Linked DNA regions of Drosophila melanogaster. Changing the gene in region 1 together with any one later gene gives a genetic interaction. Each region holds a gene or a part of one and is shown on either strand. Other genes may lie near its edges. The genes, in order: Su(H), Tom, nerfin-1 and CtBP.

Region 1 (8,829 bases):
TCATAATAATTGCGCAGGTGAATGGTACTTTTTAATGTTATTAATTTGTTACTTGCCAGTGTCAGGTTTAAATGTAATTAGTAACTAAACAAGTCTGAAATGTAAATTTTTTAGTTAATTTATTTCTCCTCATTATTAAATGATCTACTTTCCCTTTAGATGGAAGGCTGGTGTTGCTGCCACACTCAACTACATCGACATTAATTCGACGGAGAAGTCGCCAAAGCTGCATCCGTATCCCAGTTGGGAGGCCAACAAGCTGCCCATCGATGTGCAGCCACAGGACCAAAAGACACCATCCGGTGGACGTCTGGACGCGGACAAGGCTCAAGATGCCGGCATCCAGCTGAAGGACAACTCCACTGTCATTTCCACCTTCCGAATTCAAGTCGACGTATGCGATCGCCTGTGGGTGCTCGATACTGGCTTGGCCGACATCCTGGGCAGTCCCAAGCAGATTACGCCCAATTCAATCCTGGTTTTCGACTTGAAAACAGATACTTTACTGCGCCGTTTCACCATTCCCGCTGATCAGACCAAAGAGGACTCGTTCTTTGCGAATATTGTGAGTATGCATAGGCGTATTATTTAAATTCCAAACTGATCGAATTAATCAATATTTAGGTTGTGGATGCGGACCGCTCGGAGTGCCAAGATGCCTTTGCTTACATTCCGGATTTGGGTGCCTACGGTGTGATTGTGTACTCCCTGAGGAACGACAAATCCTACCGCGTCAAGCACAACTTCTTCCACTTCGATCCTCTGCATGGTGATTTCAATGTGGGCGGCGTGAACTTCCAGTGGACGGATGGCGTTTTTGGGCTGGCCGTGGGCCCAATGAATCCAGATCACTCCAAGGACATTTATTTCCATGCCCTGGCCAGTACCAAGGAGTTCAAGGTTTCGAACCGCGTGCTGCAAAACGAATCACACGTGACCGCTGGCGATTCGTATTACGATTTTAAATACGTTGGTGACCGTGGCATGAATGGCCAGTCCACCGCCGAGGTCTTTGACCCCGAGACCGGCGTCATCTTCTATACGCAGGTGAACAAAGACGCCATTGCTTGTTGGAACATCAAGCGTCCATACACTCCGGACACCCAGGGGCTAATCGATTCCGATTCGCACACTCTGGTCTTTCCAAATGACATGAAAATCGACAATGAAGGCACTATTTGGGTGCTGTCCGACAAGATGCCGACATATTTGTACAAGGAACTCGATCCCTCGGCCGTCAACTATCGTATTTTGATGGGCCAGAACCGCGATCTCATCAAGGGTACACCATGCGAAATGTGATCACTTGGATATTTAAATCTACATGCTGTGTTTATGACGCGGTGCATTTTTGTATTTACATTATGACATTATTGTTTGTTAGTAAGTCAGCTTAATAAACTATTTGAAATGTGATTGATTGGGTATACCATGGTGAGCCTAAGTTAAATGTCGGATTTCAGGAGGTTGTCGGCCAGTTGCACCTTCTCACCGGGCTTAAAGGCGGGCATGCCCAAATAGGGGCAAGTGGAGCAGCGGAAGGCGTCGCCGAGATAACACTGTGCATATAAGAAATCAGTTATAATCGAGGTTAATGCTAACTCACATCGGGGTTAAGAGAACTCACATTTCCACAGCTTGACTTGGCATTCTCGGTGGCCTTCTGGCTCTGTTTTTCAGTCTCCAATTCCTCGGCCAGCCCGCAGGAGCAGTTTTTGCACGCCTTGCGCTTGCCCGTGGTGCTACAGACACGCAGACCAGCCGGATCCGGCTTCTGTTTGTCTTCCTCGTCCAGCAGCTCCTCCTCATCGATCAGTTCCTCATCGTCACCGCTTATCTTCCACACATTGACTGCACTGGCGTTCTTCTTTGCGAATGACAACCTGGCTGAGGATCCTGTCTCGTAGCCAGGCTTCTCGGCGGTCAAAGCATCTGGAGAGTCCTCGCGACAGTTTATGAATCCGGATAGCTTGATCTCCTGCAGCAAACTAGCCGCCGGACCGATGTAGGACACCAAATGCAGTTTGCCACTCGGTTTCAGCATGTGCAGCAGTTTTACGTAACTGTCGGTCAGCTGGGCGCACTCGATCACAATCAGGTCGAAACTGGAGTTGGCATAGGAAGCTGTAATGCATAAACATCACTGATTTTAATCTGCTGACTCACTGGCTAGTCAAAAACAGCACACACACACCGCACCGCACGCAACTTACAAAACGAAAGGCGGTGCACATTTTCCAAAGCCACATCGCCGCCAGTGGCCGCCTTTAGTTGCTCCACGCGCTTGTCCAAGTCGGCGCTGTCCGTCCATATGTATAGGGATTTTTGTAGACCCTTAAAGTTCTCCATTGTGGATGTGTTTCTAGAATATCTCAAAAGTTCAAGCACCGAACGGAACCGATTTTTGATTTCACAAGTTAGATATGGCAATGCACCGAAAATCGAGCGGTGATATCGATTGTACCTGCCTATCGGATTGCAAATGATATTCAGTGATTGTAGATTTTTCCACTTTACACTGTGACTGCTAAAATATATGAATAACTAAGTGTACTCCACCAGATTCGTTTTTTAATGAGTTACAGCTTACATTCTGATACATAATTAACAGCTTTTAGTTGCATATTGTGTGTTTCTGCCACTAAACCTATTTAAACGGTTACATTTAAGCCTAAAGTCGCGAATTATCTTTTAAATTCACCCATGTGTACTTTCCCACGGCCCGTTTTAAAAATGCATGGACAGTTAGACAAGAAGGTTGGTAGTTTGTACCTTGAATTTTAAATGTGGGCGCTCAAAATCGAAGTGTTCAATGAAAATCGATACCTTTCGCATCAGTTAAAAGTATTTATAGATATAAGAAATAATATCTTTAACAGTGATGTGATGGGAATAAATATACAAATGTATTCAGAAACTGCAAAGTTAAAACAAAATATATTAGCTACTCCAAATTGGCTATAAAATAACCAAATGCCCACTGCCATCCAAATCCAACCAACAGTGCTGTGAAGCGACAAACATATCGCCGGTAGGCAGCGACTATCATAAATAAGCGCCTATCGGACTATCGATACAACATCAACATCCTCAGTCGCTTTTTTAGTTGTAGCATATTATAAATATAACTCGAGCGCTAGTTGCAGCCTTAAACAGAAGCCAGCCGCCACTACCGCTAGTCGCTAGTCAAGATCTGCTCGAAACGCTGAAATATGTGTGATTAGTCGTGAATCGCAGCTAGCCGCAAATCCAGCTTGAGCTACAACAACAAAGCCAATCCGCGGTTAAGAGGAAGAGAGTGCGTGAGAGAAACGACAGCTGCTCTGCGTGTGTGTTTGTGCAGCAGGATAACAAAATAGAAAACATACAGCAGCAACAACAACAACAAAAACAGCACCAGCGAACAGTGTATAAAGTGCCAAACGAATTTGCCAAATAGCCAAAAACGAAATAATAGAAAAGATCCAAACAAAATTCCAATAAGTTCAATGCAAGGAGACATGTGCATAAATGAAGAGCTACAGCCAATTTAATTTAAACGCCGCCGCCCCGCCCGCCATTGCCTACGAAACTACGGTTGTAAATCCCAACGGCTCACCCCTCGATCCTCACCAGCAGCAGCAACAACAGAGCCAGGATATGCCGCACTTTGGACTGCCCGGTCCGCAGCCGCCGTCGTCGCAGCAGCAGCAACAACAATTGCAAGTGCACCACCAACAGCAGCAGCAGCAGCAACAACAACAACAACAACAGCAGCATCAACAACAAATGCAGATGTCCTTGCTGCCGGGTCCTTACCGGCCACACATCGAGGAGAAGAAGCTCACGCGGGACGCCATGGAGAAGTACATGCGCGAGCGCAACGACATGGTCATCGTTATCCTGCACGCCAAGGTACGAAAGGATTTCCACTTTTAAGCCGGTATTATCAGGTGCTTGGTCTGGATTTAGTATTCAAGATATTCTAAAACATACAAGGGAACTCCTGAGTCTTAAGTCTTAATTAAATTATTTGAAGCTTGAAATACATTATTTCAATATTACTAAAAATATATTAACCCAAACTGGAGAAACGTAGGATATCCTAACTTTCATTTAAATTAGAAACTTGGTCAGTTTTGTACGTCGATTTCCTAAATTATTCGATTTTTTAGATTAAATAGATTAAATTCAGATTTTCTTTCTATTTCAAGTTTAACGATGTATCCTTTCTTTGAAAATTACTTGTATGCTTTACAAGATATTTATTTTTTTTTTATAATTTAGTTTTAATCTAATCGGTCAGTCCGCAACGCCAAAACCACACCCACTATTTAAAGGTGCTAGTGTTTCCATTGTCCACTTTAAAGTGTTACATTTTTGCGGTTTTTGGCGAACGCAGACATGAAAATGGAATAAAATTGTCGCGGTTGCTTTTAGCGGTGGCGATCTTCAAGCGACGACTGCCGCCAAATGGGAATCCTTCACACTCGACTGCCCGCAAATTGAGCAACGCGAGCGCGGTCCAGTCCGCAATGAAAATAATTGAAATTAATTACAGAAAATTAACAAAGCTGCATTGCTTGCGGTTTTGATATGATTTTCCGATAATCTGGACGGCAATTTGTACTAATTGAATTTTCCCTGCACCATCGTGCGCCTCTGTCTGTCTGTCTGTGTGAATTCCAGGTGGCCCAAAAGTCCTATGGCAATGAGAAGCGATTCTTTTGCCCACCGCCGTGCATTTATCTGTTCGGAAGTGGCTGGCGCCGGCGGTACGAGGAGATGTTGCAGCAGGGCGAGGGCGAACAGGGAGCACAACTATGCGCGTTCATCGGTATCGGGAGCAGTGACCAGGATATGCAGCAGCTGGATCTCAATGGCAAGCAGTACTGTGCGGCCAAGACGCTCTTCATCTCGGACTCGGACAAGCGAAAACACTTTATGCTGTCGGTGAAGATGTTTTACGGAAACGGTCATGACATTGGCGTTTTTAACTCGAAACGGATCAAGGTTATATCCAAGCCGTCCAAAAAGAAACAGTCGCTAAAGAATGCCGATCTGTGCATAGCCAGCGGCACCAATGTAGCCCTGTTCAATCGCCTGCGTTCCCAGACTGTCTCCACCCGTTACCTTCACGTGGAGAACGGACACTTTCATGCGTCGTCAACACAATGGGGAGCTTTTACGATACACCTGCTGGATGACAATGAGTCCGAGTCGGAGGAGTTTCAGGTGCGCGATGGTTACATTCATTACGGAGCCACAGTCAAACTGGTGTGCTCCGTAACGGGCATGGCCCTGCCACGTCTGATCATCCGGAAGGTAGACAAGCAGATGGCCCTGCTGGAAGCCGACGATCCCGTTTCTCAGCTGCACAAATGCGCCTTCTACATGAAGGATACGGATCGGATGTATCTCTGTTTGTCGCAGGAGAAAATCATACAGTTCCAGGCCACGCCGTGCCCCAAGGAGCCGAACAAGGAGATGATCAATGACGGCGCCTGCTGGACCATCATATCCACCGACAAGGCTGAGTACCAGTTCTACGAGGGCATGGGTCCTGTGGCGTAAGTATAGCTTACTTACAACTCAATGGATTAGTTTTCATTTCGTGTTTTCTTCCAGTTCTCCAGTCACTCCAGTGCCAATCGTTAATTCCCTTAATCTCAATGGCGGCGGGGATGTGGCCATGCTAGAGCTGAGTGGCGACAACTTTACGCCGCATCTGCAGGTGTGGTTTGGCGATGTGGAGGCGGAAACCATGTACCGCTGCACAGAGACATTGCTATGCGTGGTGCCGGAGATTTCACAATTTCGAGGCGAATGGCTTTGGGTAGGTTTTCCAATGTAAATCTGTTTAATACGCGCTATAAATTTTACTTTTAATGGTCCTTGCAGGTACGTCAGCCCACGCAGGTGCCCATTTCGCTGGTGCGCAACGATGGAATAATTTATGCCACCGGTCTGACCTTCACGTATACACCTGAACCAGGTCCTCGGCCGCACTGCAATACACAGGCCGAGGATGTGATGCGAGCGCGACAGAACAATAACAATAATAACATCACTAGCATTAGCAACAATAATAACAGCAACAATGCGGGATCGCCGGCAGCCGGCGGTGGCTTGCAACAACAACAGCAGCAGCATCAGGCTCTGCCCTCCATCTCAGAAGTGCAATGGAATAGTCATGGTAGCGGCTTATCCTGAGTGCAGGATTATTGCATCGCACACATATGTATCCTAAGTTATTTATAGTTTTTATCGAAGACCTTAGTTTGTAGATTGACAATTTTTCTCATACTAATTTTCAACCCCTCGTGACGTAAACCAAAATGTGTCCCCTTCTCTCTAAAGTGAATCATACTTTACACATGTATCTAGTGCTAGTTCGGAACCAATAGAATTGTAAATGACACATAAAACTCTGTACATAACTCGAAAAGCTCACTGACATACATACATACATTTGTATGTGCATGAATATACCTTTACACAAAACATGTAATTCTAGTTAAATATACAATTGATGTAAGTTTATAGACGATTTTTAGATGCGGTTGAAATATTTATGATTTTCTTTGCTATGAATTTCCAAAGATCTAAATGAAAAAAAAAAATACTGCGAAATGCATCGGAAATTTTTATTATACACAAGCCAGTAGCCACGCTACAAAAACATTCCATTTCCCTCTTTAGCTTTCTAAAAAGTCGAAGACAAAGTCAAAAAGGGAAAAATTTGTTTCTGTACATACAGTTTTGTTGCATTTTTTTATTAACTTTGGAAATTCGTAGCATTAAAAATCCCAATAAAATATTTTGTAAAATAAAATCGCAACAAGACAAAACAGCGATTTATTTAAGTGTAAGCGAAATGCCTAACATAAATAAAAAAAAGAAATCCCAAATGATGACAAAGAATAATCAAATCATGTCAGCTTATGTTTTTGGTTTAGCGTGATTCTTCTGGTTCACCATTTTTCCTGTGGCCTAAGGTGGAGCGCTGGGGAGGATTGGTTGCCTTAAATTGCTGTGGGAATATTACCCAGTATCGTGTGAATATTTTTAAACAAAACAAGTGCAGCTCTTCCCACGATGGTTTGCCTCAACCCCCTCGGACGGGCCGACTTTAATTATAGTTTGGTCTGGAATTGCTGAACGCGAAGCTAAGAAGCAAATATACATAGATATATAACACTATTGTTTCCGTTTTGGCCAAGTTAAGGAGCAGAATATTCTCACAGCCCAAAAAGCCGCTGCCGAGCTGCTGTGAGAATTTTTACTGCCTTTGTTGAATATTTATGCATTCGTTGCTGCTGCTGTCTTTACAGATTTACAAATTAAGATTCGCAGTTTTGAATTAATTATCGCTCACTTCCGCTCGACGGAATCAGAAGGTGAGCGCTGGCCAAGCATTTAATCTCATCTTGCACTTGGGAGACATATTTCTTATCAGAGTCAGCCAATAGGAACTTGGCTGCAACCCCTAAGATTTTACTGCACCGGGCGATGGGAACGAAAGACTTAAACAACGAACTTTGGTTGCGTGAGGAATCAAACTACTGGCGGCCGCCTGTGTTCATTATGATGGAAAAACCACCACCAAAAGTTCTGGCTCTGGCAATTGGAACTGCAACCTCTTAAGGTCGTCGCCGTCTTATAAGAAGCTGAATATGAAATTAGTTTGGAATTTTTAATGAACAATTCCTTCACATTTCCCCAGGCCCTCTTTCTCCACCACTGTTTGGATAGGCGAGTGCGATGATTGTGGTCGTTTTTAGAAAGGGGGAGACAGCAATTTCTAAAAGTTCTCAGGACTGCTACACAACCTCATACCGTCTACTAAAAAAGTTCATTATCTTGAAAAATCTAAGTCTACCTGCCGTCGTCTTTAGTCTTTAGCTTGCCGTGCCGACTGCTGCCGTTTTTCACACGCTGGGGAAAAATGGAAATTCTCGCAAAATACAATGCGTGGGAAATCGGTGGCGTGGGAGTCAGGCAAGAAAATCAAGGGAAACTATATAATCCAGTCCTATAAAAATTTGTATTCACAAGACTTTGGACACGTACTCCCTTCCATGCGCGGTAAATCCAAAGCCGTAGGTCAAGATTGGTAAATCGATGGCAAAATCGATCGGATTTTCAAAGTTTATAGGGGTCGGTCGTAACCGTTACTTCAACTTGTTTAGTTCCATTGTTGTTACTTAACAAAGATATTTATATAAGACTAATTATTTTATTTATTAATGACTTTAATGAACTATTAACACTTGTGCTTACACAGCATTTTTTGTCTAAAATAGATTGGTTTGTTCTATACGAACCCATTTTCAAGACTTGTCACAAGCATTTGTTCAAGTTAAGTGTTATTAAGTGTCCAAAGTTCGTTTGTTTGTTTCTAAACGAAATGAACTTAAGACATTTAACTACGTGTTTGCACGTTTGTTTGTGTCCGAAGTATAATTTTCTAACCGTTGATCGAAATGAAATTTGCATTAATCCAGGTCAATGAGATGACCTTACCTTCCATCCGATTCTATTAAAAAGACCACATAATTTGTATATAATTTATTAAATAATTGAACATTTCTATGTATTTGATACAAAACGTCATCAGTACAGATATGCAGTTAGGATATACAAAGATATAGATGCAATATGTGTAGATACAAATGCTTATCTAAAAATATGTAAGACCTTTTCTTCATACAAAAACATTGTATTTAATAATTTAACCGGAATGTGCCATAAGAATACCTAAACGTGTAATTGCAAAAATTTATACAAATACAAATACTAAAAACAAAAGTTGCAAGTTGGTTTGGTATAATCGATAGCTGAACAAGA
Region 2 (5,798 bases), on another chromosome or scaffold:
TGTGGTCCTTTCGAGTACAGTGAACATTCGCTCGAAGGTGTGCAGGGATTTTCAAGATTCCACACTCACTGCAGCGTAGTTGCTCTGGCAGGCTTCACTGTCCTCACACTTGTTCTTCGGGGTTGTTTTGGTCCTTGGCAAAATTTGAATTTGGAGCGTAATGAAACTCGAATTTCTTCGTTTATTGCATGAAAGGTTTCTTTATCTTTCCCTTAAATCTGCTATAGGGATTTAAGATATTTTTGGATTTCTTGTTGCATGGAACCACCACTTGGAAATATGGTTTTCTGTGACAGGTTTCACTGTCCCCACACTTGTGTGTTGGTTCGGGCTCTCCAAGAAAATTAAAATTTCGTCTCTTGTTGAAATTCGAATTTCGTCTCCTATTGAAATACTTGGCACTTGTAATTTGGGATTCATTCGTATTCCAATCCAGTTGCATTAGATGGAGTGGGATAGGATCCTGGCCCATCCACTTGGGGGGTGACCAACCAGGAACCTAGCGTGCTTGTGGCTCGCTTAACTATTCCACAGGCATAATTCCCCATAAGCACTTGAAGATTTTATTTTGGTGGCGTTTCAAGTTTAGTTGTTAGTGTCAGGTTTCCTGAAATTCAAGCGCCAGAATGAAGCCTGCATAATTAGCTTGTGGCTATCGTGAAACAAAATATTGTGGATCGAGTGTTGTAATATGACTTATGTTGCATTTTTCTTATAAAAAAAAATTATTTACACTGAAAATACATGTATTCTTTAATACATAATTCTTTATCTTTATTTTATTTCAGTTCGGTGGCTTGTTAGCCGTATATACATACATATTATATATGATATTATTGTGATAAATATTTATCATTGACTCATTTAAAGAATTTTGAGAATTCACGCGTTTGTAGCACATTCAAAATTTTTAAAAATTATTTTATTCATTTTAGACTGGGTTATTTGATATGGTTTTCTTATAATTAGTTCTTGAAGAATTCTTTGTAGTATTTTAATATTTGTAGATACAAACAGTAATTTTTTTTAACCATAATATTTTTTTTTTATTTTACTTTGCTTTTATTTATTGAATCTTCTTGTATAAGAACTAACAATAAGTTTAAAAATCTTAACTATAACAAGTATTTTTTGAACAGTTGTATTATTTTTCCAACTGTTCTATGTTTAAACGGCCCTAATAATTTATTCGCTGGGTTGGTAGGTCCTTTCGCCGGAGACGGGAACGGCTGCTGAGCTGGATTAGACCTCGCGCTAGGTGGTTGGGGTGCGTGTGAAGCGTGTGAACCATAATATGATATGAAAAGATATGATATTTACTATACCAATATTTTCGAAATATAAATAGAATAAATAAATAAATACATATATACTACAAAGGTATATATTAGGTATATTTGAAACAAAAATCATATTTTAACGATAACAGATGCAGAAATTGTATGAAAGACAAAAAATAATATTTGGTGAATATTATATTAGCCTGTGGTCAGGCTAAATATAAATGTAAATAAAATTCTTTATTGTTCTTACGGAAGTATTTCCAACTGCCTACCAGCAGCATTTTTGGATTCAAATGGTCTCCAAGCAGGAATGAATGCAGTCACTAATTGGAATGTGTTCACCAGCATAGCGAGTCCAATTTAAAATCCATTCTTCAAATCAGAATTGTACAGAGTAGCCGAATTTAACTATACTTACAATGGTCATTCAATTTGGGATTTTTCTTTTCCAACCTTATTCATATTATTTCATATCAGTTTTCAGAATAAAGAGACATTAGAATTTCCTTTTTTCGATTTATTTATTTCTTATATGATATTAGTGTTTATAGCTAAAGTTTTACATGGAAGACAATGATTCTTAGCCTAATTCTTATACGAAGACCCTAACAAACAAACATGGAAGACAATGATTCGGCTAAGACTAACTTAAGGCTAATAAGACACGATAAATCACAATGAGTTAACGATAGTAACGCTTGATTGTGATAATTGAATATCAATTAGAGTTGTGTTTCCCTTGGGACGCGAGCCCAAAGAATCCAATCTATGCCTAATATCACCCTGAGATTACGAACATGCGAAGCTGAACCCGCATCCATCCGACGACCAATGGACGGAGACACTTGCACTTAAAGCTGCCAATTGGAGTTTTTCCCGGTGCATCGAGAAGTGGAACTGTGCATCCTGGCGATGTTTAGGCCTGAACCCAACGGTCGAACTGCTGGCGCAACTGCTGTTCGTGGTGCTGGCGAGCTCCCTCGGCTGAGGTCCAGAAGAAGGTGCCGCTGGTGGTGCGGGCGAAGTGGACCGGGATGAAGGTCTGCTCCGGATGGACGGGCACGATGCTCTGTTGCTGACCCTGCTGCACGATCATGGCCACGTTGGTGGGGCACTGGCGGAGATCGGTGTACAGTCGCTGCTCCAGCTCCTCGTTGGCCATGTTATCGCAACTGGCCGCCGGATCTTTGCGCATGTCCTCCAGCGAGGCGTTGACTGCATTTTGGTTCTGGATCTCGGCCAGAGTCTTCCGGAGTAGCTGCTTCTTCTTCACCAGTCGCAGAAGGGGTTTGACCAGTTTCCTCAGACTCCGCATGGCCATCGTGTGCTGATCTGATTTCGGCTCCATCACCTTGCTGCTCTCAAACTTGTATTCCCGTGTGATGAACGACATTGTGTTGAGGATTGTTGAGATTTATAATAAAACTTGGGATCTTAGTTGGTTGCACTCGGTTGAGAGTTGGTAGTATTCTGGTTTTCCTGCTGCACGACCGACTCCTTATATACGATTTGCTCTCTTTGGTTTCTCTCGGCGGGGGAGAATTCTCGCACAGAGCGGCGGTTCTCTCGATCGATGGACCCAGCCAATGGGAAGGCAGACTGCCTGCAGGTGGTTGCACAAACAGTGAGAGCGGGAGACAAAAGAGAGCCAAGAGAAAGCGGTCTCGGAATCAGGAGCATGTCCTTACCCTTGAGAAAGCAGGGTATGATGAATTTTTGAGTCTGTGCATAAAAAATAGATTTTACGAAAAATAAGGTTAATATGTTTTTATTGTGTGTATATCTTTTAAGTGTATTTTTTCTAAAAAAAATTATTTATAATAGTAATATTGAAAGGGGCCATATAAGGTTGAATTTAATTGAATTGAATTCATTGAATTTATAATAACTATAGTAATAAGATCATAAACTTGATGAAAAATATCAATATTTAAGGACTCTATTAAAATTAAACTTAAAAGACTAGCAAGAATAAAATGTATCCTAAAATATTTGGTATACAACTAAATTAAAAACTATTTAAAATTAAATAATTAAGATCGGCACAGCCTTACAAAAAAAGTTTTCCTTAACAGCACACTGCTAAATTAAGGTATGTAGGAAGTACATCGGTAAAATTACAATAAATACAAAGAGATCGTTGTATATTTAACAATTATTTAGTATTTTACTAATGGTATTTATTTTTTGGAACATAGCATACCATACTAAGTCATTTACTTTAAAATTTCATATGTTTCCCACGTGATTCAAATGCTGGGTATTACCCACTCGAGTTGCTCATTCACTGCAGGTTTTTAACGGATTTTTTGACAGTCGCATAGATCTCGGTCGGTTCTCGATCTTTCGCCCCCTCTGAGAGTACCATGCCTCACAACCTCTCTTTACCTGCTCGACTCTGTCGCAAGAAAAGTAGAAGTCCCTAAATCCCAAACGTAAAATTCCAGGAGAGTACCGAGCGGACAAGTCGAAACTTGTTGAAAAAATTCCATAACAGAGTGTGAGGGAAGAGAGATTTTAAAATTCGACACACTATCCGAAAAAAGACGGAGGATATGGACAAACAATGGATTGGCATATCTCGGAGATACAATCTCGCCGCTGGAAATACCCAAACGGACAAGGGACTTGTCCGTTATTTCATTGAGACAGCCCAGAAAGTGCCCCTAAGTCCTTCCGTCCGATCGTCCTTTTCCTATTTTCCCAACCTGTAGGTAGTTGAGCAAAGTAACGTATTTTTCGGGTACTTGGCATTGCGATGGAATGGGATGGGATCGGACTCTCAAGGTTAGTCAATATGCATTAATGCCGCATTTCGGGAAATCTCGGCAGGTCCTTTTCAGCTCCTTCCGATCGCATTTGTTTGTCATTGTTGTTCTTTCCCGGTTCGAGGGACCTGCTCTGTTGATGCGTGAAAAATTTTCGACGCGGGAGAAGCACGTACAGATAGGGATCTTCAGAGTTTTGGTTTTTGGCTCGGTTTACGCATTTTAGTGGAATTTCGTCGGCACTTCGTTTATGAGTCGCCTTCCTAATTGTTATGGGCCCTTTTCCCTTGCCCCCGAAGGTTACTTTCATAATTTTGTAACGGCTCCGAGGACTCGAGTTTCTTGTAACGGTCGTTTCGTTCCTTTGGCTATCCTTACGGTCATTAAGAGGGTCCCTAATTGGCCCCCGTCTGATTGCTGTGCCCCGCATTACGCAGAGCTTCTTTGTTTTAAGGTTCTCCCTTTTGCAATGGAAACCTGTTTATTATTTTGCGCAATTCGGTGGGGTGCATTATATCAATTTCAATCGCAGTGAAGCAGAGTCGAGGGGTTAAATTGGGGTCTACACTTGCCTGGCTGTTGATTGTCAGAAGACGTGACCTGATTTGACCCTCTCCACACTTTACACATATCGTTAACCATTCGGTTTTCGTTTTCGGCTTATAAAGGGAAGGCGTGGCAGGTTGATGTTATGTAAATTTTTGAAACGGTTCCACATTAAGATGACGTTCCTCCCTATTAATAATGGAAAATATATTCAAATAATATTGAATATGTATTTTTCCTTAAAGTTAAGGTATTGCTGTAAGAAATGTGATACAAAATTAAATGCACGTTTGGATAATCCTACTATTATTTACATATATTTACAATAGTAACGTATGTACATATGTAAAATGTATAGGCTACGATTAATTTATTTTTAAGGTATACACAAGTCAAAGAATATTGAAAGAACACAAATTGTAACACAAATTTTTAGGAAAACAAATCAAAAGTATGATACCATAATATACCATTTCGTACAATTTTTCAAAATTAATATTTAACAGGAGTTGGATCTACATTATATTTTTTTTTAATGTTAGGTTAGCACTGATTTGTATAAAAAAACAACAAATTTAAGAAATAGAATTTGTTGACCAAACTAAATAGCAAATGAATATTGTTAATAAAATCAGTTGTTTCTGTTACTTCTCAATCTTAACGTTGCATTGAATTCTTTGTCGTTGCCAAATAGGAGCATTTACAAAAATGTTTTATTGTTCTTAACGCAAAGTAAGAATTGAAAAACAATGCAATAAAGAAGACCGACTATCCCACAGTCGCAGTGTTTGCACACGTGCAATGAATTTCGATCCTTGAAATATGGAACAAGTCTCGACACGATCGCTTCGTAAAATTTGAGCTACGTTCTTTAGAAACTATGTCTCTTATTTGCCAAAGAGCTCAGTGCTATATGGTTTTGTAGAGTAAGGGTTTCTTCTAGAATCTTATCTGCAAACATCATCAGCCGATCTCAGCGATCTTCGCGGCGATGATTGCTTTTTCATGGCTGTTGATGGCCGGCCAGTAGACCGTTAAAAAACCTCCGTGAGGTGCATTAGTTTTGGGTCATTTGAGGGTTCGTTTCGTTTTCGTCTCGTTTAATCCTCTTTTATCGTGCATTTCTGATGTGTTTGGGGTTACTCTTTGTGTCTCGTATTTTTACCTGCCGATGCTGTGTGTTTGACCCTTGCACGTGCAC
Region 3 (8,223 bases), on another chromosome or scaffold:
GTGTTTTAATTTCCTTGGGGTAAACGGAATTTTCATACGCGTTCGAGTTGAGTGTGCTTAAATCGCAGGATTCGCTGCTACTTGCGGAACCGCCCTAAAACAGTCGGGAGAAAAACTGAAAATGAAAATTGCTGAAAAATTCACCCAAGGCAAGCAGCAGTGGCAGCGGGAAAACGGACAAAAGCTTTTCCGCGCTCCCCAAGCAAAAGTACCCGTATTTTGGCACAGAGAGCGAGCGCGGAAAGCTCAATCAATAAGTCGAGCTGCTCTCTTTCACAGGACATCCCCATCCGGAACCACCCACCAAGTCACCACCCCCTAGCACATGCTGCGACTTTGAACGAACAGTTTTCTCTGTGCTTTTCCAATTTTCAAAGAAACTAACACCTCATCTCGACTCGCAAGTAACTATTTCAAGTCACTATTTACCGGATGAAAATCTGAGACGCGACACGTCGTAGTAAACCGCAACCGTAAACCGTTCACGGACAGCGAATCTGCTTGAGACCTTTCCTCCACTTTGCACTTGGGGCTACGGCTCTTGGCTTTCCGGACTTGCGATCCACACGTCTGACTGCCAGAATGGCCACAACATGAATGTCAGGTGTGCGATTCCGGCTGAGACTCGAACTCGGCACTCCACGTACTCCTCTGTGTAGGCGTCTCTCTGCCGGAGAAAATTTCCCGATAACCGTTATTTCCTTAGACAGTCGAAGCTGCCAACTTAACGCCGCGTTGCATTTCGATGGCTGCCAGGACCTGCGACTTGGCAGTGTTGCACGGGAGCGCTTTCGCAATCAGTTGGAGCTTTGGAAGCTTTCGGGCCTTATAAGCAGCTTCATATGTTTAAAACGTATAAGAGCCTTTCAACGTATTATTTGTATTTATGTAAAAGGAGAAGTTCCGGAAGATATTACAGATAAGTTATTCGAATTGAAAATCCGTGGGCTAACTATGTAGCATTGCTTCAAAGGGATTTTTGCTGCATTGTGAATTAATTTTTTTAGGATTTTAAGTGCCATGATCAAATGGATTACAAAGATCGCGAATAATTACCCAGCATGTTAGTACAAAGATATCCTTTCATATCATGTGCAGGATCTCCAGCAACTGTAGCAGCAACATACATAATAACAATTTGCATATTGAAAAACCCCTTGGGCGGGCAATTCTAAGTGGCCTGCCAATGATGATGGTAATCAAATGGATTACTCGAGTGGTCGGCACTTCAAATCTGCCAATCGCGCTCATCAATCTGTCAACTCCTTGGAGGAGTGCCATTAGAACACATGGCCACTTGGGCGAACAAAGGACCTGCATAAGGTAGTCTCGAACGGATTTCCAAGCCAACATGCCTCTCAAGGTGCAAATTAGCAGAGCAGCAGGATAAGAGTCCCGAGGACCTGAAAGGAAGTAAGATCCTTCGAGCAGCTGCCTTTGACCCGCAGAAATGGAAACTTGTTGGACATCGAACCATCTAATGCGGGTACCACAGTACAGGAATGTCCCGTGCCAAGGTGCAAACTGCAAAACGTATCGGTTTCGAGATCATTTTATTAGTATTTTATGTTTTTTGTTTGCTTCAGGCCTTCAGACACAGATGTTGGTGACTTACGGCTGCTGCATCGCCCCCTTGAAAACATCGACGGGGTTGTTTTTGCGGCATGATTTTACACAATTTTCGCTGTGCGAGGGGAAGGACATCCACATCTTTTGACGCTTTAAATTGATTCACACCGCGCACGCAACTGCCACCCCCGCATCCTTTAGTTTTATTCAGCTGCACCCTCGCATCCCGTACTATCCTAGCATATCCTGGCATATCCTGTTCGCCTTTTTTCCGTGCTGTCATGCATTTGTATTTGATTAAACATTTTTTACGCGTTTCCGTTGAGAGCATCATTAGTTTGGCCCGTTTAGAGTTTCACTATGGACCGACCAGAGACTGAGTTGAAAACACCCTGGGATTCCACCCCATCGTCATCAAGTTTCCTCGTCCTTAGCCCAGTGCCCAAATGCATCTGTCCGATTCAATGGTCCACTTCCGCTTTTCCGCCTTGGCAGTTAGTGTGTTTTGGTATTTGTTTTAGTCGGTCCCAGATCGATGGACCATGTCAATGGCCCTTAATGGCATTTCATTACTGCAGTTCGCCGTTATTTGGGCATGATTATAAGGAATCACCCAAGAGCACTCATCATTATTGGTTACCAGTCTTACAACCCCCGTATAGATGATATATGACCACCTCGCCGCAATTATAAAGCAATCATTTGGGGGTTTGTTTTCCCTGACAACCCAAAGAGAACCCAACAAGAAGTTTTCATTTTCAGTTTTGCGTTTTTATTCAAGAGCTTTTATAATTTACAATTTTTATGGGTTTTCCAAGATTGGGTTTTGTATAAAAATATATTGGTTTCCGATAAATATATGTCGATTACATCTTAGACATCATATAATTAAAAAAGGTCTTCAAGAGTTTGTTTTTGTATAAAAATATATGGTGTATATTACGTATAAAAATACTTGGTTCAATGATCTGTCTCCTCTTAGCTTATTGTTAATGCACAATCGAGCGCAACGATTCTCTTGTAAACTTGAAGCTTAGACTGTAGTATCACAAAATCTCAACCGATATGGTTACATGTATGATATAGCTTAGAGTTAGTTAATTCCTAGATTGAGCGAAAGTTTCCCTTTTCGTTGTACTCTGCGGTTACAACCAATTTACACATACTGATGCTAAGGAACAATAGCGCTGTGATATTGTCCCGATATCGGGGATTACTTATTTTATTGCTTTAAGTACACAACCGCCGGTTCTGAAGCCTGTGGCCCTTATAGCTAGGTTGTACTGTTCAATACTTTGACTGGTAGTGAGACGCTGGTCCAATGTCCGTTTCTATGCCTAACTTAACTAACTAAACTAAACTGAGAACAAGCTGATTCCGCTTGATTAGGTGGCTAAAATGACTAGAGCTCACACTCGACTTTGGTTCACAAACACTGGGCTTGAATTTGCTTTAAACTAGGATTTGGTTTGCTTTTTGGTTTGATTCGAACTTAAACACTATTACTGCACAATTTTGCCTGAATTTTGGTTTCGGTATATAACCTGAATATGACTAAAGCTGTATCCGAAATTGAAGAACGATATATGTTTGTACAAACTTAGTAAGATCGAACTGAAGCTGACTTATAGAGATGATTTATCCTAAGTGACTAGAAGGAATGCAAGAACTTGTGACTAGAATGACGAGAAATTTCCAGATTGAAAAAGTTGTTAAAGGGTTGAATTAAGGGTAGAATATTAACTGGAAAATGATTAGCAAAAAATGCAAAGATGATACAGGATGAGAGTGAGTCATGAGGAAATTGGTATGAAAGTGTGAAAAGCTATGGGATGATTAGTAGTAAGAAGAATGAAGGATGATATGGGTGATGAATGATGTCATGGGATGATGTAGGAGCAAAGGAGTAGATGGATATATGACTGACTAGTATTAGTTATAAATCTTTGGTTGGTTGCTTTGGCTTTCGTTGTAGGTTCATTGCACTCCCAAAAGTTCCTAAACTAGCTAAATCTAGAGACTAATAGAAATGCCTTCGTGGTACACAAGAGACACTCTTTTCGAGATCGTATTGAAGCTGACTAGTGCCAAGATTCTTTGGATTCACTGACTAGAAATTAAGTTACAACTAAATTGCCGTGTGGAATGTGGGCCGAAGTACGGATACAAACTAGAGTCTAACTAGAATTGAACTCATTTTGCGAACGAAACTGAATCGGTTAAGAACTAAATTTTATAGCTAACTAAGAATACGAAGTGGAAAACGAAATTTCCGTGGAATATAACTATTTCTTTGGTCTGTTTCAGCTGCATCGGGTTTGGTGTTCAACTAGAAACTAAACTTAACATTAAAAATAAATCTCACTCGATTTCAGTGGGCCATGGTTGTGTGTTGGATGACGGAGGCGCAGTTCCTCAAGTTGGTCAGAGCTGCGGCAGCAATGCTTTCCTCCTCCGTGAGACCATGTTCCACAATCTGAAGCCGTCCGTATCCCGCAGATGAGGCGGAGGAGCTGGAGTCCGAGAGGTAGTCGTTGTCATAGTCGTAGTTCTCCCTGGCATTCGATCCCACCACGTAGACTCCCTCATCGGAGTGCGAACTGCTGGCGGAGGAGGAGGTGGACACCGCCTGGTTAAAGTGAAAACTGCCTGTGATAGTTGTGGTGGTGGGCTTCATTTCCAACTGTTTTTCCGCTGGCTTTTCCTTTTTCTGATGGGTCAGCTGGTGCTTCCTCAGGTAGGCGGCTCTCTTAAACTTCTTGCCGCACTCCTGGCAATCGAAGGCCAGTTCCTCCTCCGACTTTTTCTCCACCTGCTGCTGTTTCTCCGGCTGGTTGGTGGTATTGCGATTCTCCTTTTTAGACGCCTCCTTCCTCGGCTTGTGCCACCGGCGATGGGAGGCCAAGTTAGCAGGACAATTGAACTGCTTGCCGCACTCGGGACACCGGTACTCCAGCAGGACGATGCAGGCGCACCTGTGCCGGGCCAGGCCGAAGGCGTCCTCGAACTTGATCTTGCACAGTCGGCAGACATAGTCCCCGATCACGTTCTTGATGGCGGCCAGTTCCGCCTTGGTCTCCTCCGTGATCTCGACTATGTTGTACTTGGGGTCAATGTCGCCGTTGCTGTACTGCATCGATCCATCGGTGATGTCCTCGAGCGGTCGGATGACGGTGCCCGAGACGGGGGAACTGGTCTCCTCATCGAACTTCAGCTTGCGGGTGGCTTTATTGCGGGAGGGCTTTCCCGAGGAAGTGGAGGCCTTGTTGGTTTTAGGCGCAGATTCTGCCACTTTGACGGGTTTCGCTGGTGTGGATTCTACTGTTTCCACCGGAACCTCCTCCTCCTTTTTGGCCATTTTAGCCGGCTCGTCGTCATAGCTCTCCCGGCTCAATTTACGCTTCCCTGCTGGACTCTGCGGTGGTGTTGGGGGCTTCACCGGCAGCTCCTCCACCTTGGTCACCTCCCCCTGCACCTCGCTGGAACTAGCACTCGTATTTTCGCTATAGACCTCCGCGAATGTGGCCGCCATGGGCACATCGCTGCTGGGCAGTGGTGAGGGAAGCTTCAGCGTTAGATCCAGCGGTATTTCGCACCTGGTTTTCAGGTTCAGATATCGACTGCGGTACTTGGGGGGCAGCGAGGCCACTGTGGTCAGCAGGCCCAGGCCATGGGGCATCCCCTTGTGCTGCAACTGGATGCCAATGCTGTGCGGGTGGCTGAGCTTTTCAATGGGCTCCGCGGGGGCTGGAATCGGTATCGGTGTCTGTATCTGGGCCATGGCATCGATGGGACTTTCAACTTAAAACTTCAACGAGGCAAAACGAAAACGGAGTAGAACGGGGAACGTAGAACGGGAACTAAGCAAACTTAACAACAAACTGATAACGCTGATCCTCGCGGACTGGGACTCTATGCAGAAGACCTCCAGTCGGCTCGACGTTTGTGCTGCGAATGACGTTCGGTGGACTCGGTGGCGGCTATTTATGTGTACCACAGGCCAAAGGAAAGCGAAACCGAAACTCGAAATCATTGTTTGTGCCGGCGTCCTGGAAATACATTTCAACCCCCTTTTCGGCCGAAGTCGTTGTCCTTTTTCGACGCCGGCAGAGCCGCAAAAGCCGGAATCTTTTGTTAGCAATCACACACACATTAGTCACCCTTTTTTCCACACACACACATACACACGGAGTGAAAGTCCTACGCACACACACACACCACACAGTCTCCCGTTTTGCGGCCAGGACAATGCACTCGGAGAAATCAATGTGCGACAGCTGTTGTTTCGGTACCCGAAATTGCCACGCACCAAAATCGCAGCACCTTCCTAGGCAAATATGAATGTATGTTTGTGTATTCAGCGGAAATCTGAGCAGCACATTGTCCTTATTTTTGCCAAAAAAAACAGCTGACACCCATGGAGTCGTTAATTGAGCATGTAACCATAAGGTTCATCAATAGATCGGGAATATCCTTGGGCCAAAAGGTGAATTGTTTCTTTGTTGGCATTTGGTGCTAAACAGCTGTTGGCCAAGATGGTTATAAAAGTAAACAATGTAACAAGTAATAACGGCTGGAAAGTACATCAACATAGGGCATAGTTCGGATTGCTATCTATTTTTACATTTTTCATACATCTCATACACAAATTTCGCGATGTGTACTTTGCGGCACTGCATTTATCAGCCTCAGACGACTAAGCTCGTCAAGTTCGCTTTTGGTGGGGTAGGTAACAGACTAACAGACTAGCAGACACAACTTGGATTCGAACTTCGAACTTCACCACCGCGGAGCATGGCGCACAATCGCTTCTATCCTCGTATCCTTGTCGCTGTAACGGTAGCTGTATCTGTGTGCGAGTATCCTGGACGTGTATCGTTCGTGTGAGTGCTTTGCATTAATGTAATCGAAATGCGAAGCCGACTGAGCTGACTGAGTCGACAGTGGTTGCCATGAAAGGAATGCACTTTCGATTCCCGTCGAGGGCTTTCGTCGCAGGATTCGCAGGACTCTCGCTCTTGGAAAATATGGCATATTATGTTGAACACGCCGCCATTGTTGTTGTTCTTGTATTACGGTAGGCACGTGCATGGCAACGATTGCCACCCCAAAACGGGCTGACAATGTGAGCACTAAAAGAAAATACCCCCAAATTGCATAGTTGATCTAAGATTTCAGCTTTATATTCAATTGAATGTATTAACTCCGCCAGAATGCTATAATACACATTGTACAATGAATTGAATGCGCTACTAATATTGATTTTCTCGCAGTGCATGGTTGAAAGTGCAGAGAGTATTCCCAAGGCGATCCTGTCGCAGCAGGGTGGCCTTTTGCCAGGGGAATCGATGTTTGCCATGCAGCTTAGAATTAAAATAGCGCACGCATCCGAGGCCAAATCCTGGGCCAAACTTCGGATCGAGTGAATCGGCGACAAAAGTCTCAGAAGTGCGCCAGCCACGCGAGCATTGTCCTGAAGGTCCTGTCGTCCTTCGGCCGCGATGGCTGCCATCCGAAGGTCCTGAAAGGCATCGCAGATACACTGATTCAAAATCCATCCCCGTGCCGGGTGGCGAAAGTCCTCCCCTCCGGAGGACTCGGTGATGCCTTGCCAACTTATTCCTGTCAGTCACAAATGCCGCCTTATTTGCGATTCACTAAAGTGAGCGAAAAAGGAAACGGGAAATCAAGCCATCAAAAAGGACGAAAATTGATTAATCTGAGACAAGCCCATTGAAACGGATTAGTGCGCGTTGTTTAGAGGCTTCTCTGCGGTTATCATCATCCACCAGATCAGAGTGCACTTTTGATATTTCCATGGCATACGATCTCCGCACTTGCTTCTAAGGGGGAAGTCGTCTATTAAATCTCTAGAAGTTTCGATTAATGAGTGATAAATTTCTCTGCATGTACCCTTCAAAAATCCGCTTTGACTGCTCTGATTTCTGCGCTCCAAGGCGTTCTTGGCACAAATTCGCACTCGACAAACACCCACGACAGCCCGCGGAGAAGTGCCCCGACCACTGGGATATGGTCTCTATGTCCCACCTCGTCAAATCGCCCACATAGGAGGTACGCATTCTGTTTGTTGTTCGGTACATTGCTAACCCTTAAGTGCATCTTTTTATGGTAATTTCAAGGGCTCAGCCCCACCTCGGATCTGTCTGCGTGTCCTGGTCGGTATCCTTGCTCCCTCTGGCGGCTGCTTGGCAATAATTAATGTTCGAAAATGCATCGTTTATGCGGCATAATGCACTTGCATTTCCATTCTCGTTTTCATCTGGCTGTGTGTGTCTCAAAAGGCTTTTTAGCCTTTCAGCTTTTGAGCCTGCAAGCCGCGTGCACTTTTGCTTGGGCAGCTCCTCAAGGATCCACTCCACTTGTAGCACATGTTGCCCATTGTGGCGATGAGGCTGCCATTTCGGGGTTCAGTCCTGTCAATCCATTCCACTGCCACTTCCACTGAGCTGTAATTAAATTTTTCGCTTTCATAATTTCATGCAATTTTTGCTGCTCCGACGGCCAAGCGATTTGGTTTCCAGGGCGCAAAGGTTTTTAATTGCATTTGATTTGTTTCTGGCAGGGGGAAAGTCGAAAAATCTGCTAACAATTTGCATTACTCCATTGGGTATTAAAATTGAAAGCTCCAAATTT
Region 4 (7,625 bases), on another chromosome or scaffold:
ACAATTTCTTCCTGCCTGAAAGCCATGTTCGCTTAAATTGTTTGCTGTATGTGTGCGTTGTGTGTGTGTGTGTGTGTTGAGCAGCCTTAAAACACGTTTAAATAAGTCATGCGCATTTGTGGGCAACAACTTTTAAAGCACAGTTGAGATGCTGCTGCGGGGAAATGGTGAAAATGCTGCTCGAGGGTTGGGAAATCGACAACTGCAACTGGAAAATTCAAAGTGCAACTGCTCATGCGTCGTTGCTGCGACGACTGCCAGCGATTTTTCAACTTTAAGTCAGTCGTCGTCGGTGCTCGTAACTTGTTTACCCCACCCGCTCCCTTTTCTTTGTACTTTTGCCTGAATTAACGGCTGCTGCCGTTTTGTCGTGACGTTGCGTTCCCGCGCTTTTCCTGCCAGCAGCCCCCGTCCCCTCCACACCACGCTGGCTAACCATTTCAGCTTTCTGTTTCATGCATATGCACTTAAAGCCGGCTTTCAAGATGACGCCAAAAGCCTCGTGGCTCGCAGTAACTAAAGTGATGGCCATTCACATTAAGCGCGATATTAATGCCACAATATTTCGGCACTCGCAAATGCGATTTTTCAAGCCGGCGAAAGTTGTGGGTATGGGTATTCATACTCTTACATCATAAATCAGTTGCCCGCAATGCCATAAGTGAATTTATAGAATTTATAGATGGGAGTGTAGAAATGAAAATAGAACATGGAAAATGTAAGAAATTCAAACCAGAAATCGTTGAATTGCGAAAATATCTAAATGTTAAATACATTTTTTGCCAATAAGCTATAAAAAGTCAAACCATTTTTCAATAGAAAATCAGAGCATTGCGTTTTCCAAATTCCTTCCAATTTAAATTTGAGATTGTTTTAGCCAGATTATTCCACCTACAAGTATATAAACACACCGCATTAACTGGGTAAATTTCCGAATTGGCCATTTTCGCTGATATTCGGTTTTCGCGGTTGGAAAAGTGCAGATAACGCGATTACGAACGAGTTCGGACCTTCAGCAATAATTTAGCCATGGTATTTACTGTACTACCAAACGAAAGCACTTAAACTGTTTGCCTGACATTGGCCAATGTTTTCATTTGTCTATGTATGTAGTATGTATGCATGTAGGTGCCATTCTGCGTTGCTTTCCCATTGTTTTCCCTCGCCTTTTCTCGTATTTCCCACTTGTTTTTTGGTTTTTGTTGTCTTGTTTCGTTTTTTGTTGTTGTTGTTGTTGTTTTTTTTTTTTATAATATTGATTGGTGGTGCGCGCGGTCTGCGAATGACGCAAATCGAAAAACTGCAAGCCAGCATAGCCGAGTGGCAAGTGACCAGAAGTGGGAAAAAATCAAATGAAATACAATTTATATATATATATATATGTATATATTATTGCCTCGCACGCTTACGAATTGCTGATTCTGCGTTTTGCGGCTGCTTGGCTATTTCTATTTATTATTGTTGCCATATCGCTGCATCTGTTGTTTTGGACGAATTTGGCTGAGCCATCTGAAAGTGTGTGTTTTCTGTTTTCATTTGAAAAGTGCTTGCGCAGGAGTATAGCAGATATGGCGAAAGGTTTGCCATCAAACATGCAACGATTAGCTGGCCAAAATACATCTTTCCACCGCTGAATAGATGAAAGACATCCGAATTTGTAAACTATCATTCATTTTCAACAAATTTATAACTTGGACAATTTAGCTTTAAGGGTATTAGAGCCTGTACCATCAACCGAATTGCGTTGTATTTGCCTTTCAGATCGATAGAGATAGAGCGCAGAAAAAAAATACAAGAATATGAGGCACACATGGCTGCCATTGTGTTTCTGGTCGAATTTTAGTTCCTCGGACTTTTGTGTTTAAATTTAAACGTTTGCCTGCTATTTTGGTGGCTGCTTTCGCTTTGTTTTGCGCCCCGTGCACCACCAAGTGTGAAATTCTTTGGGCAGGTGTGCATTTTTTCACGCGCGCAGTCGGCGGCAAACACACAACAACAAACATTGCGCAAAAACACAGAGCATCAAACGGATTGGGGGGGGGGGTCGTACGAGGCGTGGCAGTGGGCGGCATCGCCTGGCATTGACAATAAATAACCGTTAGCTAGTGGGAGTGGGCAGCCCATACACAATCAAATTTATTATTTGCCAAAAAAGGGCAGTGACAAGAAGCGGAAAACGTTGTTGCGCCAAAAAAACTAGTAACAACAAATTCAGCAACATGTACAGTTATCGATGGACTATATATATAGAAAATTCCATGGCAATGCAAATATTGAAGTGGAAACGGGAAAAGCGGCTCTCTCTGCCACATATTTCCATATTTCTATTTATTCTATAGCGAAAACTACATTGGGTAGGAAGAATTCTTAACGACTGCAATACAAATTCAGTGGCTAATAACTATAAATTTAAGTGTTTTTATAAAGCAAATTCCTCAGCATTTCATTTTTGCCCAATGACGAACAATTAGCCAAAAATTTCATAACCGCAATTAACTTTAACTTTAAGGCAATCAATAATTTCAATTGTGCCTGCTGCTTTTAAGGGTTTGTAATCAGTCTAGATACCCCAAAAGTGCGCAAAAAGTTGCGGGGAATACAACAAATGACTAAACAACTAACAGTCGCTATAATTTGAACTCTTTATGTGGCAGAAGTTTGTCTGTATTTCCGTTTTTGGGCAAAAACAAAAACACCATTTGTAATCCTCTTCGGAGTTTTGAGCACTGCGAGCAATACCAACAACATTCCCGTTGCAAGTGCGGCAGTATGTGGCTGGGAGGGGAGAGGTTTAGGGAGGGGGGAGCCCAGAGTTGCTTGTCTGTCTGCCTCTTCATGTGTGCGTGTGTGTGTGTGTATGACGTATACGTTTGTATGTGTGTGATGGGTACAGGCACGTCGAACAGTGAAAGGGCGAACGAACAAGAGAGAAGAGAGAGAGCGATAGAGATAGAAGAAGCTATGACAAAAACACGACAAGCGCAAAAATTGTAAGAAAACTAGAAACAAGCATCAATTTGAATGGACATTCGTAAGTTGATCAAACTTTTTCACTTGGTTGTGTATTCAAATCGGCATAAACACACACAAACAAACAATCGCAACGGTTGTTGAGTAAGTGTGTGCGCTTGTAATTTGCAATCAATATGCGGGCGCAGGAAATAAAAGCTATTTATACTTTTAAAGCTTTAGTTCGCGAAGAAGAAACGATAAGCAGCACTTTCACCCTTTAAAGGCTTTTAATCCGAGCGAAAGAACGAAAACTCCCGGTTGAAATGTGTCAACATGAGGCTTTAGTTGGTTTTCAAACTCGTTGCTTTTGGCCTCTCCCTCCCACCCTTTCTCTTGCACTCGCGCTAGCTCGCTCTTTCTCTCTCTGTCGCACCAAATGTGGCGGCGGCAAAACAACAACGATGAGACAGCATGTTGCAGTGGCGTGGGCAAAAGGGGGGTGCTTGAGAAAAGGGGGACGTTGCGCAGTGAACCTTGCGTGTGTATTGTCACTAGGCGGGCGGAAAAAAATATAAATTACAAAGAGAGTGTATGTATCTGTGGCTGTGTGCGTGTGCGGGGAAATTATTGCACAATTTTATTTATGTTTTGCATAGAATATGGCAGGCATTGCTCTCTCTCTCTCTCTCTCACTCACTCACACACGCACTCACTCGACTTTTGCATTAAACCGCAACAATACTTGGTCATGTGTGTGTGCGTACCCACACACGCACACCCGCATCACCTATACAGGCAATAGCAGTTCCGCTTTAAAATTCATCAGAATTCTGCACGTTTAAATTTTTCTTGTACACGTTTATCGCACACTCACACACACGCACGCACACAGGCACAGGCGCACACTCGTTGCAAACGGAAAGGCAAATGGGAAATATATGGTGTAGTAATCCGTGGAAAAATCGCCGCTGCCGCGGATTTTCGATTGTGGTATTATTAAATAGCTGAAACGCAATCAGCGGCGCACAATTTGATTTTCAGCTCTCGTTTTCGCCTTTTTTTCTCTCGCTTATTCGCCTATTCCTTTGTGGCGGCGGCGACGGCGGCGTCGGTTTTCTTCTCTCTTTTCTTTTTCTTTTTTTGCGAGTTCACAATTGGGCAAGAAATTCACGTGCCAAAAACGCGGCCACACACAATTTTCGGGGACAAACACTTGGCGGCGGGTCTCATGCACCGTTGCCGACCACTTTTCACAAATTTTATGCACTTTTTGGGCAGTTTTCCCACAATTAATTTACCAGCAACGCGTCCAAATTCCACTCGCAGCTTTCAAAATGGCGGAATACGAACACGGCGGATTTTTAGGTTTTAGTACAGCAATGACGCTATGCGAACAGTGTGACCGCACACGGGTCGTTCGAAAATACCTCGGTGCGCGCAGGCAAACTGCAAGAATTATGGTATAGTTTGAAATGTTGGTATTGCAGAATTCCGACTTTCGACTTCCGTGAGTTTCAGTTGTATATGTTATGCGATTTCATTTATGGAAATTAATAAAAAACAACACTTAAATAAAATTACGTTACCTTATGTATTGTATTTTATTTGTGTGATTTATTATTTAGAATAATAAAAAAGTATTAATGGTATATATGATTATACCAAAAAAAAAACGATATTTAAGTACTTAATGCAGCCCTGAAGAAGTGTGACCGCTGATCAGCGAATCCAGAGAACGTGTTTATTTCAAAAACAAGACGACGGTCACACTGCTGTACCAATAACAAAGAACTCGTTTTTTCTACAAGTAACGGCCAGTTAATAGCTCTTACTAACTAAACAGACCGATTAGGGATCTCGCACAAAATGTCGGCCAGAAGAGCAACCCATGCAGGCAGCTGGTACACGGACTCGGGTGAGTAACAACCCAGCTGCGGCCCAGAAGATAACACAATCAATTATTGCATCGCCTATGGGTGTGGGATAAACGCATATGTATTGCACCTGTGCGTGTTTGCCTGTGTGTGTGTTTGTGTGCGGGTAATGAACCTTAGGGTGAACCAAAAATGTAACTACAGGTCACCAATTCAGAAGTTCTTTTCCGGATCCGAGCCAACCGCATTGCGAATCTCGTCCATGCGATCGTATGCGATTTCGGTGGCCCAGCACAGACGCTTCTCCAGCTCGCTGTTGCGCCGCCGCTGCTGACGCAGTGCATCCAGTCCGCGTTCCAACTGAGTGCATGCCTGGAAGAAGGTGCTCAGCTCGGGTATGTCGCCGAATTCGCCGGGATGCCGACGGAATCCCTGCGTGGCGTCCGTGGATAGCTTGTCCAGGCGATTTTGCAGGAAACGCTGGTCGAACATCATCTGAAGCTCTGCAGTCGTCGCTTTGCCCAACTCGTTGTTGGATTCGTTTAGGTGCAGGTCCCGTATGCGGTCCTTCAAGCCCGTGAAGCTAACCGACTCCAATTTCTCGCCAATGCCCTGGAAGAGTTCGTAGCTCTGCTTGAGCTCCAGCTGCATCTTCCGGACATCTTCGTCGATGCTTTTGGCCGCTTGCGATTCAAGGAAGTCGGCACGGGCACTGGCCTCCACGGGCGGAGCGTCATATCCTGATCTTAGCGAATAGCTCGAGGATGTGGAGACCGGATCCGATGGCTTCTCCTGGGCTCCACCTCCAGTTAAACGATCTTCAGATGATCTGGTACCCGACGACGAACTCTTTGTACTGCCAGCGGACGAGGAGGAGGCCTTACTATTGTTCTTCTTGGAACTCCTCGATTTTGCTTTCCTTGTTTTCCTTATGGGCCCGAAAATGGGCAGCGGATTGGGACTCAGGAGCAGTTCCTGTGACGCCTCCTTGTCGGAATCATCAGCAGCCCTGTTGTAGGATTATAAATGGATTGATTTTTTTCTTCTTTTATATATATATATATATATTGGGTAACTTGATAACTTACTCTTGAGATAATATAGCTGTAAGCTCGTTCCGAATGCGATTCATGAGCTCATCGCTTTGTTTTTCCTTATCAGTTTCCATCGCGGAATGTTCAACTAAAATTTAAATCAATATTTAATAACTTTATATCGCTGCTGTGATAAGTCTCGATTTAGTGAAAGTCTTATAAACCAGGAAATATTTGTTTGTTTGCTGCTAGGCAACGACTGGCCAACTATTTTCGTTGATTTCGAAACTGAAACCAATTCCTGAGCAGGGAATTATGGTTTACGATATTATTTATTCGTTAATAAATGTATTTACTTTGCTTTTCAGGCGCCGAGCTCTCGAGACAGTTGGATCGTTGGCTGGGTGCCGCAGATTTGTCCCATGGACCGGCTCGTGCCATCATTGCTCCGTAAGATTTAACCGAATTCTTGCAATAAGCACCATTGAACTTACTGATTGATATTCCACAGACATGCTGGATATACGTACTGTGGAGCCTGCGCTGCCTTTGCCTATCGCCAAGTTAGCCCAGTTGTCGTGTAAGAAGTTCACATTCGAGATTTCCGCGAAGACAATCCGGTTTTATTGAACCTTTGCTTGCAGCAAGCGAATCTTCATACTGGGTCCCTCGCATCATGTGCGTCTGCGTGGCTGCGCCTTATCCGTGGCGAAGAAGTACAGGACACCCCTCTATGATCTCAAAATTGATGCTCAGAGTATGTCGATTGCAAATACAAGGTGCATTGCATGTTTTATTGATTTCATTTATTATTTATATTTAGTCAACTCTGAGCTTGAGAAGACTGGAAAGTTTTCTTGGATGGACATGAAGACTGACGAGGATGAACACTCCATCGAGATGCATTTACCCTACATTGCCAAAGTGATGGAGGAGTAAGTGGATTTGAATATATGCTCGAGGCGTTTTACTAAGTAATAGCACTGCTGCAGCTACAAGGATCAGTTCACCATTGTGCCTATTCTGGTGGGTTCGCTCAATCCCGAACAGGAGGCGCAGTACGGCAGCCTGCTGTCCTCGTATCTGATGGACCCCACCAATCTGTTTGTGATATCTTCCGACTTTTGCCACTGGGGCCATCGCTTCAGCTATACCTACTATGACAGCTCCTGCGGAGCGATTCACAAGTCCATCGAGAAGCTGGACAAGCAGGGCATGGACATCATTGAGTCGCTCAATCCGCACTCCTTCACCGAGTACTTGCGCAAGTACAACAATACGATATGCGGACGCCATCCCATCGGAGTAATGCTAGGCGCCGTGAAGGCACTGCAGGATCAGGGCTACGACAAGATGAGTTTCAAGTTCCTCAAGTACGCCCAGAGCAGCCAGTGTCAGGACATTGAGGACTCCAGCGTTAGCTACGCCTCCGGATCGCTCGTCTTCGAGATGTGAAAGCACTCAAGTATTTTAGCCACTCGACGGCAACTAATTCTTGCTATTTAAGCGTAACGTTTTTATATTTACTAGCATCAAATTGAAAATTTAACAATAAATCCAAAATCCCCAACCAGTTTCAATTTAGTCGGCATTGTTTTATCAATTATAACAAAATACAATTAACAATTAAAATCGCAAGGAGAAATAAAGCTCATTTTGATAATTTAGCTTTGATTATTAGCATAGATTTAGTTAATTTAAGGGGAATTGAATAAAAACACACAATCGCAGGATATGTGAACTTCCATTTGAGTTAATTTTTCTT

Evidence for each region.
Region 2: of Su(H) (region 1) and Tom, changing one suppresses a phenotype caused by changing the other (phenotypic suppression), as found in Drosophila melanogaster (one study listed by BioGRID).
Region 3: of Su(H) (region 1) and nerfin-1, changing one suppresses a phenotype caused by changing the other (phenotypic suppression), as found in Drosophila melanogaster (one study listed by BioGRID).
Region 4: of Su(H) (region 1) and CtBP, changing one enhances a phenotype caused by changing the other (phenotypic enhancement), as found in Drosophila melanogaster (one study listed by BioGRID).

Annotation. Positions count from the first base shown.
Region 1 is NT_033779.5:15,036,427-15,045,255, forward strand, and holds Su(H) (suppressor of hairless), read left to right. Parts: upstream 1-3,061; 5' UTR 3,062-3,510; coding exon 3,511-3,894; intron 3,895-4,668; coding exon 4,669-5,549; intron 5,550-5,607; coding exon 5,608-5,815; intron 5,816-5,880; coding exon 5,881-6,192; 3' UTR 6,193-6,908; downstream 6,909-8,829. Other genes in the region: yellow-c, read left to right, coding at 160-565, 625-1,302; CIAPIN1 (cytokine induced apoptosis inhibitor 1), read right to left, coding at 1,446-1,559, 1,628-2,124, 2,214-2,349. UniProt on the Drosophila melanogaster protein: Transcriptional regulator that plays a central role in Notch signaling, a signaling pathway involved in cell-cell communication that regulates a broad spectrum of cell-fate determinations.
Region 2 is NT_037436.4:14,966,305-14,972,102, reverse strand, and holds Tom (twin of m4), read right to left. Parts: upstream 2,760-5,798; 5' UTR 2,677-2,759; coding exon 2,200-2,676; 3' UTR 1,797-2,199; downstream 1-1,796.
Region 3 is NT_037436.4:906,425-914,647, reverse strand, and holds nerfin-1 (nervous fingers 1), read right to left. Parts: upstream 5,537-8,223; 5' UTR 5,351-5,536; coding exon 3,941-5,350; 3' UTR 2,329-3,940; downstream 1-2,328.
Region 4 is NT_033777.3:13,008,374-13,015,998, reverse strand, and holds the start of CtBP (C-terminal binding protein), read right to left. Parts: upstream 4,351-7,625; 5' UTR 4,251-4,350; exon of another isoform or gene 3,827-4,250; intron 1-3,826. Other genes in the region: CG11656 (uncharacterized protein), read right to left, coding at 5,040-5,835, 5,915-5,994; CG8031 (uncharacterized protein), read left to right, coding at 4,819-4,867, 6,229-6,310, 6,372-6,440, 6,505-6,617, 6,684-6,795, 6,853-7,315. UniProt on the Drosophila melanogaster protein: Corepressor targeting diverse transcription regulators. Hairy-interacting protein required for embryonic segmentation and hairy-mediated transcriptional repression.